2 linked regions of the Canis lupus familiaris genome follow. The protein of the gene in region 1 purifies or fractionates together with the protein of each later gene. This does not show direct contact. Links are inferred from orthologs where the notes say so. Each region holds a gene or a part of one and is shown on either strand. Other genes may lie near its edges.

The links.
Region 2: the proteins of IQGAP1 (region 1) and DIAPH1 purify together in Homo sapiens (affinity purification with western blotting; 3 studies listed by BioGRID and IntAct, with this or other methods). This does not show direct contact. The link is inferred for Canis lupus familiaris from reciprocal best matches to the Homo sapiens genes IQGAP1 and DIAPH1.

Annotation. Positions count from the first base shown.
Region 1 is NC_049224.1:54,169,715-54,175,004, reverse strand, and holds the end of IQGAP1 (ras GTPase-activating-like protein IQGAP1), read left to right. Parts: intron 1-1,681; coding exon 1,682-1,790; intron 1,791-3,601; coding exon 3,602-3,715; 3' UTR 3,716-4,498; downstream 4,499-5,290. UniProt on the Homo sapiens protein: Plays a crucial role in regulating the dynamics and assembly of the actin cytoskeleton.
Region 2 is NC_049223.1:35,641,295-35,646,584, reverse strand, and holds part of DIAPH1 (protein diaphanous homolog 1), read left to right. Parts: intron 1-1,792; coding exon 1,793-1,887; intron 1,888-2,207; coding exon 2,208-2,309; intron 2,310-2,534; coding exon 2,535-2,774; intron 2,775-2,918; coding exon 2,919-3,048; intron 3,049-3,791; coding exon 3,792-3,916; intron 3,917-4,542; coding exon 4,543-4,707; intron 4,708-4,849; coding exon 4,850-4,985; intron 4,986-5,290. UniProt on the Homo sapiens protein: Actin nucleation and elongation factor required for the assembly of F-actin structures, such as actin cables and stress fibers. Binds to the barbed end of the actin filament and slows down actin polymerization and depolymerization.

The DNA.
Region 1 (5,290 bases):
CTCTCCCCAAGCCTGGCAACCCAATCTACTCCCTGTTTTTATGTATTTGACTCCTCTAGGCACCTCAAGTAAGTGGAATCCTACAGCACTTGTCTTTTCATGACTTGGCTTATTTCACTTGGTTCATCCATGTTGTAGCATGGGACAGATTTCTTTCTTTTTTAGGCTGAATAATATTCCACTGTATGTATATGTACCACATTGTGTTTGTGTATTCATCAGTGTCCATTTGGATTTCTTGCCACTCTTGGCTCTTGTGAGGAATGAATGCATGGAAGTGTAAATATCTCTTTGGGATCCTGTTTTTAGTTCTTTGGAATATATACCCTAAAGTGGGATTGCTGGATCATATGATAGTTTTCAAGTTTTTGAGGAACTGCCATACTGTTTTAAATAGCAGCTTAAAAAAGTTTAACTTGTATATATATCCCTGAAGTAGTACGCTGGTTGAGTGTGTGTGTATAAGTGTGTGTGTGTGAATCATGGCTTATTATCTGTATTTTCTCCAATCATTTTTGGGGTTTTTATGTAGAGCAGTTAATGCACTTTACGGGTCTCATATTTATTATCTCTTCCCTTCTTTTTGTCATTATTTTCTATTGTTTAAATGCCATCCTTTTTTTGGGGGGGGGGGGCTTCTTTTAATTTCTACTAGAGGCTTAGAAACCAGATAACAAAGCAAACTGATTCAAATAAAATCATCACAGAAAGTCTCTTTAAGGAATGACCTGTGAGGACCTCCTGTTGAGTAAGATGTGAATGTTCTAGTGTGTGGATTTTGTGACCTCTCTCATAGCTTCTCTGTGGCCTGTTTTATATCATTCATGGTTCTTGGCTCTGTTCTATAATTGAATTCTAGAAGTCTGGACCAACAGGCTTTGATCACTCAGGGAATAACATATCCCCACTGAAGTTTCTGGGCTTATAACATATTGAGAATGAGTAATACCTTAAATACTCTTGGTAAATAGCAATGTATCTTTGGTGGTACTTGGTACTGAGTGCATTTGTATCTATGGCACCCCCTCTCATGGCTTTTTGTTCTGACCCCTTTTTGTTTACTTACACACTTCTTACAATCCTCAAACATGCATTCATCCTTTCCTCCCTCTCCTTCCAGTCTAGTTTCCCCTTGATTATCCTTTTACCATTGGATTTAAGCAGTGGCCACGGGGAAAGCCAAGAGAATTCCTGTGACATCATCCTTTCAGAGGGTGGCATTCCTCCATGGTCCCTCTTCCCACAGCATGCAAGGGCTGCAGGGAGAGGTTCCCGGCTCTCCCCAAGTCTCCGAGCATGTGGTAGTTAGAGTAGTAGCCACACACTGTTCTACCTGTAGAAGTGTTTTGGGCCTTTATTTGGTACCCCTTTTCACTCTTGAAGAAAGATTGTTTTGTTCTTTTTAAGATTTTATATGTTTATTTGAGAAAGAGAGAGGGAGAGCGCAAGTGGGAGGAGGAGCAGAGGGAGAGGCAGGAGCAGACTCCCCGCTGAACAGGGAGCCCCACGTGGGGCTTAATCCCAGGACTCTAGGATCTTGACCTGAGCCAAAGGCAGATGCTTCACAAACTGAGCCACCCAGGCACCCCTTGAAGATTGTTAATATTCTTTCTACATTTCACAGAATATTTTTATATGAGAATGAAAAAAATCACACCCTTATGATGTTATGTTTCAACAGGTTTAAAAATGTTATCTTTGAAATCAGTCCAACAGAAGAAGTTGGAGACTTTGAAGTGAAAGCCAAGTTCATGGGTGTTCAAATGGAGACATTTATGTTGCATTATCAGGTGGGTATGCACCATACAGAACTGAAAACTTTATATGTGATGTGGTTGTGTTCTTTTTGGGGTGGACAGTAGGTAAAAAAGACACATGTTTGGATCACCCTGCATTGAGCCAGCGCCCACACAGGCGGGAAAGGAGCTGAGGGCTGCTGTGCATCTGACTTGGTCTGTACTCCCTGGAGAGCTTGGGCAGATCTGGACGTCTTCTGAAAGCTTTTATCTGAAGCTACTACTTAGTGTTGGCACTAAATTGAACTGGTACCTTGACGTTGAACAAAATGTTTAAGTAATGATAGTAGAAAATTGTAAACCTATTCAATAGCTTGAAATCTTTTCTCATTTTGATTTGATTTTGGGGACTTAAAAGTGTATTTCTGACAAGATGTGTATAAATTGCATCTTTGTAAACTGAATCCCATTTTAAATTCGGGAAGAACTCTGCAGTGAATCATTTATAACATAATTTAACCTATTTTTTATTCCAAAATATTTCTAGTCTTTACGCAGTAGAAAAGCACCAGGGTACCACAAGGCCTCCTGGGCTCTGTCCAGGCTCCACAGCTCCGTGTGTGTCCTCATCACTTCTGTCCCATTCCTTGTACTGCATCTCACTGCTGTGCTCTGTGGGCCTGGGCAGGGGCCATCTCTGAACGTGTGCTGGGCTTCTGCACCTGCTGCCCACCCCCCAGCCCTCTCATTTATTCCTGCACACATGCCTGCCAGACCGTGAGCTCCTTAAGGACCCACGGTAGTGTGTCTTCATTTCCTCCTTAGTGATGAGTAGACCTTCAAACATGTTAGCTGAACAAAAGTGAAGTGATTCTGTGATGCACATGCTCAGGTGCTTACACCCAAAAAAAAAGATCCTGTCACGTCTTTAGTCTCACCAGCGTTGCACAGGCCGACCAGCCTGCCTCGGTAGCATGTTGATCCGTGCACAGGCGCATTAAATATAGAATGAGGATCAGGTGCAGGTGTTCTGTCAGGCACAGGTGACACACCAGGGCCTTCGTTCTCATGGAGCTGCTAGAATTTTTCCAGAAGTTGCATTGTTTGAACTTTGGGTTCTTTCAAGTGCCTTGACTCATTCTGTCTCTTCTGAAGTTCATGTGCAAGACTACTCACTTCCTAAATGTGCTCTGGACAGTAGAGGGCAATGGGAGAAGCAGGGGCTCTAGATCCAGATCCAGATCCACTCCATGCCACTCTGAATATCTCTGAGCCTCATCTTTAAACTCGGGATAATCACACCTATAGGACTTTTATCAGGACTTAAAAAGACACTATCTGATGTGCCTACCCAATGTTGAGCACACTGGAGGCACCTAATAAACATTTTGTCCTTCTTCCCCTTGCCTTCAAAATATAGAAATTTTCTCACGTGAAATAAAAAGTAAGACTCTAGTGGATACTATTGAGATGACGTTAGTGGCTGTATCCTGTCTTCAGTGATTAGTATATTTTATCATAGATTGAAATGCCTCCCCCTTCCCCAGGTGACCCATCACTTAGACAAACTGGAGACACGTTATTGTCAGCTCTGAAATAGGAAGTATGTGTGATGAGTGAACATGCTGCTTTTTCTTTCCATGTTTTGTGTATTTTGATATACAGATGTACCAGAATATTCTGTTGAGCAGCATGTCCCATTCCTTGAGTCTCAGGGTGGTTGTGCAGTGGACCGTTCTGTGGTTGGGCACCTCTTTTTCACACCACTTCACATTTGTCATTCCTTGTTCCTTCTGGATCCCTCCCTACATCATGTCCTTTCTTATTCCACAGACTTGTTTGACTGTAAAATGTTGTTTTTATAGGACCTGCTGCAGCTACAGTATGAAGGAGTCGCAGTCATGAAATTATTTAATAGAGCTAAAGTAAATGTCAACCTTCTGATCTTCCTCCTCAACAAAAAGTTCTACGGGAAGTAATTGATCCATTGCCACCAGACCAGAAGGATGAAGGAAAGAAGCTCCTCACGGTGACCTTTCTTGGGTCCTTCTTTACTCATTGGAAGCAAAGACCCAGGCCACAAAAAAGCCTCAACTTGATACACTCCCAACGCCACGTTTTTAACCCTCCCACTCTGATGGGATGTCTATTGCCCTTTCTTCATAGTGAAACTGTATTTCAGGCTGTCCGACCCTCTTGTCCCCTCATTTTCTTCCGTCACTTAGGAAAGAGTGGAGGCTCCACTAAAATCTCTGTTGTTATGGTCTTAGAGGCTGCATTACTCTATTGTAAGCTTTGGTGTTTAAATTAGCAACAGGGATGGTGGGGCTTGAATTCTTGTTACTTGGAAGTAGGATCTATCAACACGAATAACACATGCACATAAGGCACACAACTCACAAGTCAGGTCATCTCCTGGCATTCAGTTGTCATTTGAAGGTGAAATTCCTTTACGTTTCCATCCCATCGGTCAAATGGAAGGATCCAGGGGCTCATTGGTTCTCTTCCACTGTTTTCCTTTATAAGCAGGAGCTAACAGAAGTCAGTGCTCTGTGTTCAAAGAAACATTTCTAGCAAAGGGGAGACACAGTTTTAAAATGTTACCATTAGGGCAGCCCCCGTGGCGCAGTGGTTTGGCGCCGCCTGCAGCCTGGGGTGTGATCCTGAGACTCAGGATCGAGTCCCACATCGGGCTCCCTGCATGGAGCCTGCTTCTCCCTCTGTCTGTATCTCTGCCTCTCTCTCTCTCTCTCTCTCTCTCTCTCTCTCTCTCTCTGTCATGAATAAATAAATAAAATCTTTAAAAAAAAAAAATAAAATAAAAAAAAATAAAATGTTACCATTAGGGCAGCCCGGGTGGCTTAGCAGTTTAGCGGCACCTTTGGCCCAGCGCAGGATCCTCGAGACCCGGGATTGAGTCCCACGTCGGGCTTCCTGCATGGGGCCTGCTTCTCCCTCTGCCTGTGTCTCTGCCTCTCTCTGTCTCTCATGAATAGATAAATAAAATCTTTTTAAAAAATAAAATAAAATGTTACCATTAAAAAATAAATAAAATAAAATGTCACCATTAAATTTGAGCAGTACTGTTGGTGTAGTTCTCTCATCAGCGGGAGGGAGAGTCCCATCAATAAACCCAGCTATGTAGGCAGGTTTGCAGTGGTCTGCGGTGCCTGCTTGTATGTATTGATGCACAGAAGGGGGCTATGTTCAGGAAGGCAGTCCACTCTGTCCCCGTGGCAAAAGGAGGGGCCAGCCCTAGCATACGTAAAATGATTGTCCTCAAATCTGTTTTATGTTGTAAGAGTGCCTTATTAAAGTGTACATTTATTTCTTGAAATGTGGGTGATAGGAATTTTGAAGATTTATATAATGCTTTAAAAGCCTTTAGAATACTGTAAGAAAAGGATTTTTAAAAATTGGCTTATCTGTATATCTGAACTCTTAAAACTTTCTTATAGCTAAAACACTAGGATTTATCTGCAGAGTTTAGGGAGACAGTCCTGCCTTATATAGACCAAAACAAAAAACCAACCAACCGAGGTTAGCTTGGTATC
Region 2 (5,290 bases), on another chromosome or scaffold:
TAGCAAGAAAAATTTCAGTATAGCATGACTAAGAACAGAGGCTCTGGAATCCTTTAGTATTTAAATCCTGTTTCCAGCCCTTACTGGCAGTGTGCCCTTGGATTTGAGTAGCTTAACTTTAAGTATTAGTTTCCTTTTCTGTCAAATGGGGCAAATAATACAGACATACAGGATATTATGAACAGGGTTAAATGAGATCACGTATGTAGATTATGTTTAAGGTACCGTGTGTGACATTTAATAAATAATTTTGGTCTTTTCATTAACTCTGGGGACAAGAAAATAGATGAGAGCTGTGGATGTGAAGAGAATAGACTTTGTATTTTTATTTTTTATTTATTTATTTTTTAAAGATTTTATTTATTTATTCATGAGAGACAGAGAGAGAAAGGCAGAGACACAGGCAGAGGGAGAAGCAGGCTCCATGCAGGGATCCTCACGTGGGACTCGATCCCGGGTCTCCAGGATCAGGCCCTGAGCTGAAGGTGGTGCTAAACTGCTGAGCTACCCGGGCTACCCAGACTTTTGTATTTTTAGAACGTTGTAGAGTGGTGGAAAGAAGTTGGTAATTAGAGAGGATTATCAGGTCAGGGTCTTTGGTTTTTTGTTTTTAAGATAGTAGAAACTTGATTATGTGTATATGCTGAAGGCCCTGGTCCTCAGGGCCACCTGTTCTATTGAAATAGAAGAAAAAGATGAGTACATGGGTATAGTTGCTGATAAGCTTACATAAATGTTGGCACAAGTTTTCTTCTGGATAATCCCAAATAGTCCTTACCCAAGCCTTTTCTGGCTTGGCTCTGGCTGAGAGCCCCCAGTGCATAAAAGAATGCTTAGGAAGTAATTTGACCAGTGGCTTCAAGTTTGTTTTTTTCTTCAGTGAAGAGGAACAAGATTTTTTTTTTTTTAATCGGAAGTGGTGGGACATGAGGATACTTTGGAGGAGCTTCCAGGAGGGCCTAGCACAGAACAGGGATGCACAGAAGGACTGCTAGGCAGCACTGAGCCCTCCACTATCATTGGTGCCACTCCACATTGATGAACCGTGATCTACAGAGTCTTTGCCAGCAGGGTTCATCAACTCAGGTGCAAGGAGAGAGGTGACATGGCTGGACTGACCAGGAACTGGAAGGAGAAGGAAACAAGAATGGGAATAGTAGTAATAGAAATGTCAGTAATGGCTGAGATGGGACGAAGCTGTAGACTGTAGGCTCTGGGTGAATAGAGAAAGCAAAGTAGAACTTTGGAGAAAATGGAACGATTGGCGCTCACACCAGAGAAAGCGAGTGCTGCTTTGGTGAGGTTGAGGGGCCGTTGGTAGAGGCTAGTGAGTGAGAGAGCTGGGAAACAGAAAGTGTTTGTTGGGGAACGAGAGATGGCAATTTAAGAACCAGAGCATTTGAAGGCAGTGGCAGCTTTGAGGATAGAGTCATGGGAGTGGGGAACTGAAAATAGAGTGGGATGAATATCTTGGATATGTCTAGATAGAGAAGATCAAAATCTTCCTGTGTAAGCGAAGGCCAGGAGCCACAGTGTTTGTAGAATGTGGTGCTTGGAGCAGTGTAGCTGGCGTGTGGGGTTTCATAAGAGAGGAAACTGGAGGGTGGGGATCTGAGACACCGGACTCCAGAACTTGGATTTTAACTACACAGGCAGTGGGGAGCTGGTGGAGGTTTCTAGAGTGACTTGAAATGAATACTCTTAGGCATATAGTCCAGCAGAGGTTTGTAGAATAGGCTGGAAGGGAGAGGAGAAAGAGAAGAATATGGCTTTGTGTCTCATTTTCCGGCAGCCATCTTTCTGGGTTCCTTTCGCATGGCCTATCAAGAGATTAAGAATGTCATCCTGGAGGTGAACGAGAGTGTTCTCACTGAGTCTATGATCCAGGTAAGGAGCAAGATTGTTCTGCAGGAGCTGGCTCTTGATGTCACAATACACAAGCCTCATCTGTTTAGAGGGTGAGGTCCTCTAGGACTGTAGCTTTACAGAATGCTGGCTTTGGGTAAGCGTCCATCTCTCCAGTGGTTGGGTTATTTCTGGTATTATTTTTCAAAAGTCCTGCCATCTTACTAGCTGCCTCTCAGCCAACCCCCCAGCCCCTACCCCATTTCCTTCTTTGTGGTCTTTGGGCAGAGTGGGAGACTGACAAGAGGCTCAAGCTGTCACATGACACAAAGGCATATGACACAGTCCCTTCTCTCTTTCAGAACCTCATTAAGCAAATGCCAGAGCCAGAGCAGTTAAAAATGCTTTCCGAACTGAAAGATGAATATGATGACCTAGCTGAGTCAGAGCAGTTTGGTGTGGTGGTGAGTAAGGCCTGTGGCAATAAGCTCTTCTCTGACTCTGTCGCCCGCTCCTTCTCCTGGAGCAGCCAGGGCACTTGTTCCTCCCCTCCTGTCTGTTTTGAACTTGTCTCTCTCTGCGCAGTACTCTGAACTCCCAGCCTCCCATACGAGACTCAAGCCTGTATGTTTCTCTTGATCTGCCCTCTCCCTGCTGGCTATCCTGGAACTGTTTGTCTTCCCCACCAGATGGGCACTGTGCCCCGCCTGCAGCCTCGCCTCAATGCCATCCTCTTCAAGCTACAGTTTAGTGAGCAAGTGGAGAATATTAAGCCAGAGATTGTTTCTGTGACTGCCGCATGTGAGGAATTACGTAAGAGTGAGAGCTTCTCTAGCCTTCTGGAGATCACCTTGCTCGTGGGAAACTATATGAATGCTGGCTCCAGAAATGCTGGTGCTTTTGGCTTCAACATCAGCTTCCTCTGTAAGGTGAGCCAGGTGGTTAGAGCAGAACAACAGAAGGGAAGGCAGCTGGCCTCTATGAGTACAGTGTGGCAAACTGCTATGGGCCTCAGGTCTTGGGCATGTCCAGACTAACAAGTTACTCCTCTTCTCCCCTCCACCCCGCCCCAGCTTCGAGACACCAAGTCCACAGATCAGAAGATGACATTGTTGCACTTCTTAGCTGAGTTGTGTGAGAATGACTATCCTGATGTCCTGAAGTTTCCAGATGAGCTTGCCCATGTGGAGAAAGCCAGCCGAGGTGGGGCAGGTTGGGGCGAAACTAGAAGGCTGTTCCAGGCCCCCAAAATCTCTGCATTAGGATGGAAATAAGACACAGTCTAGATCTTAGATAATTTTCAGTTCTGCCTATTTTAGGTGGGAATGGGAGAGGTGTAGGCCTGATGTCAAAGCCACAGAGGAGAGGATTATCAGGCAGAAGGGAGGTCTTCATGTATAGAACTGGAAAACACTTTTCCCTTCTGAGGGAAACACCAAACACTAAAAAAGAACTGTAAGAAAGGTAGGTGTTTTTAGTCTAGATCAGCAGTTCTTTTTATTCAGAAAGCATGGAATTTAAAAAAAAAAAAAAAAAAAAGCATGGACTAGATTAACAAAAATCAGGCCTTACCATCCTGATCGAGGCACACAAAAAACAGCATTTAGTAGAAACGGGAACAGATTTCTGCCCTTCTGTATTTCTCTGTATAGCTCCTTCCTCCCAAACTCTGCTCTCTAAAGGAGACCAAGATCACAGGTTCTTATTAAATTAAATGAAGCCTCTCTTCTTGTGGAGGCTGTAGGTTTCAGTCATCAAGTAATTTATGTATGATTTAACTGGAAAGATAAAAACTGCAATGTGTGAAACATCTAAAGGAGAGAACGCCAGAGCTAAAGTCATGAGGTACAGCTCTGTGTGTACTGACGCTGTGCCTGGAAGAGCAGATGCTGATCGTCTTGGAACTGGAAATAAACTCTTGCTTTCTGTTTTTGTGTTTCCTTTAGTCTCTGCTGAAAACTTGCAAAAGAACCTAGATCAGATGAAGAAACAAATTTCTGATGTGGAACGTGATGTTCAGAATTTCCCAGCTGCCACAGATGAGAGAGACAAGTTTGTTGAAAAAATGACTATATCCTTTCTTACAAGGAGGGAATTGCATCCTAGGCAGGGAAAGAAAGCTTCCTAGGGGGAGGACAGCAGGATAGTTCTGGTGATAGACAGTTTTTTTCCTTCTTTAAAAATATATTAAAAAAAAAAAAAAAACCTCTTTTCATTAAATATATAGTTCTTGAAAGCATTCTCACTGTTGTGGTCAGGACGTCATGCAGCTAGACTCAAATTCCTTGCTGATCCCTGACTCTCTGTCCCATCTCCACCATACACACACACACACACACACACACACACATTCTCTTCTCTTTCCCCTTTCAAAGGTAACCTCTGTGGCTGGGCTCCTGATTCTCAACTCATGAGTTTATTTTAAACAAAAACTGTGTTGGATTGCTTATTGCACATACTGTTTCTTAGCCCTGGCTCCACAGCAGGGTATGCAAAACCTCCTCTTCTGTAGGTGGACCATGGTTTATGGTTGACCATTCCCCTGTTTAGGGTATTTAGATTGCCTCTCGCTTTTGCTCTTACAAACACTGCTGTACTGCATATCTTCGGGTGTGGCAGTGTGCATCTCTGAGGGTTCCTCGGGGCTAGAGAAGTGGGTCTGCTTTCCAGCCCTGGGCCTTGACTTCCTGGCCGCACAGCTTTGTGAAGGACGCGCAGGAGCAGTATAACAAGCTGCGGATGATGCACTGCAACATGGAGACCCTCTATAAGGAGCTGGGAGAGTACTTCCTCTTTGACCCCAAGAAGGTGACTGTGGAAGAATTCTTCATGGATCTACACAACTTTAAGAATATGTTTATGGTGAGCCAGGGACTCCTGCCGATGGAATCTTTTGTGGACATTTCTCACTTTTCACGTTGGTTGGGTTCACAGGGTGGGTATTGGGTGCATGTATGTATAAGTGTATACACGCCCACGTGTTTTGTTGTGTTTCCCTCCACAGCAAGCAGTGAAGGAAAACCAGAAGCGGCGGGAGACAGAGGAAAAGATGCGGCGAGCGAAACTAGCCAAGGAGAAGGCAGAGAAGGAGCGGCTCGAGAAGCAACAGAAGAGAGAGCAACTCATAGACATGAATGCAGGTGAGAAGCAGACAAGGGCTAGGGCTTCTCTGCCTAGAATCTCGAGTCCAAAGACAACAGCTCATACCTGAGCTCAACTTCTGGCAAAAGATTGTGGGCAACCTTTTACCTCCAAGAGCCTGATGCTGCGCTTTGGCCTCACTCGGCTCCCCTGGATGCACATTCCAGTGCTCCGTGGTTGGCCCTTCTCCCTCTGCCAGCTCCTGTGTTATGTCTCATCTCCCCCAGTGGTTTTAGTATTACAGTAACATGTACTCTTCTGCCTGGCAAATATTCTTACAGCCTGTTTTTGTACCCTCTACTAA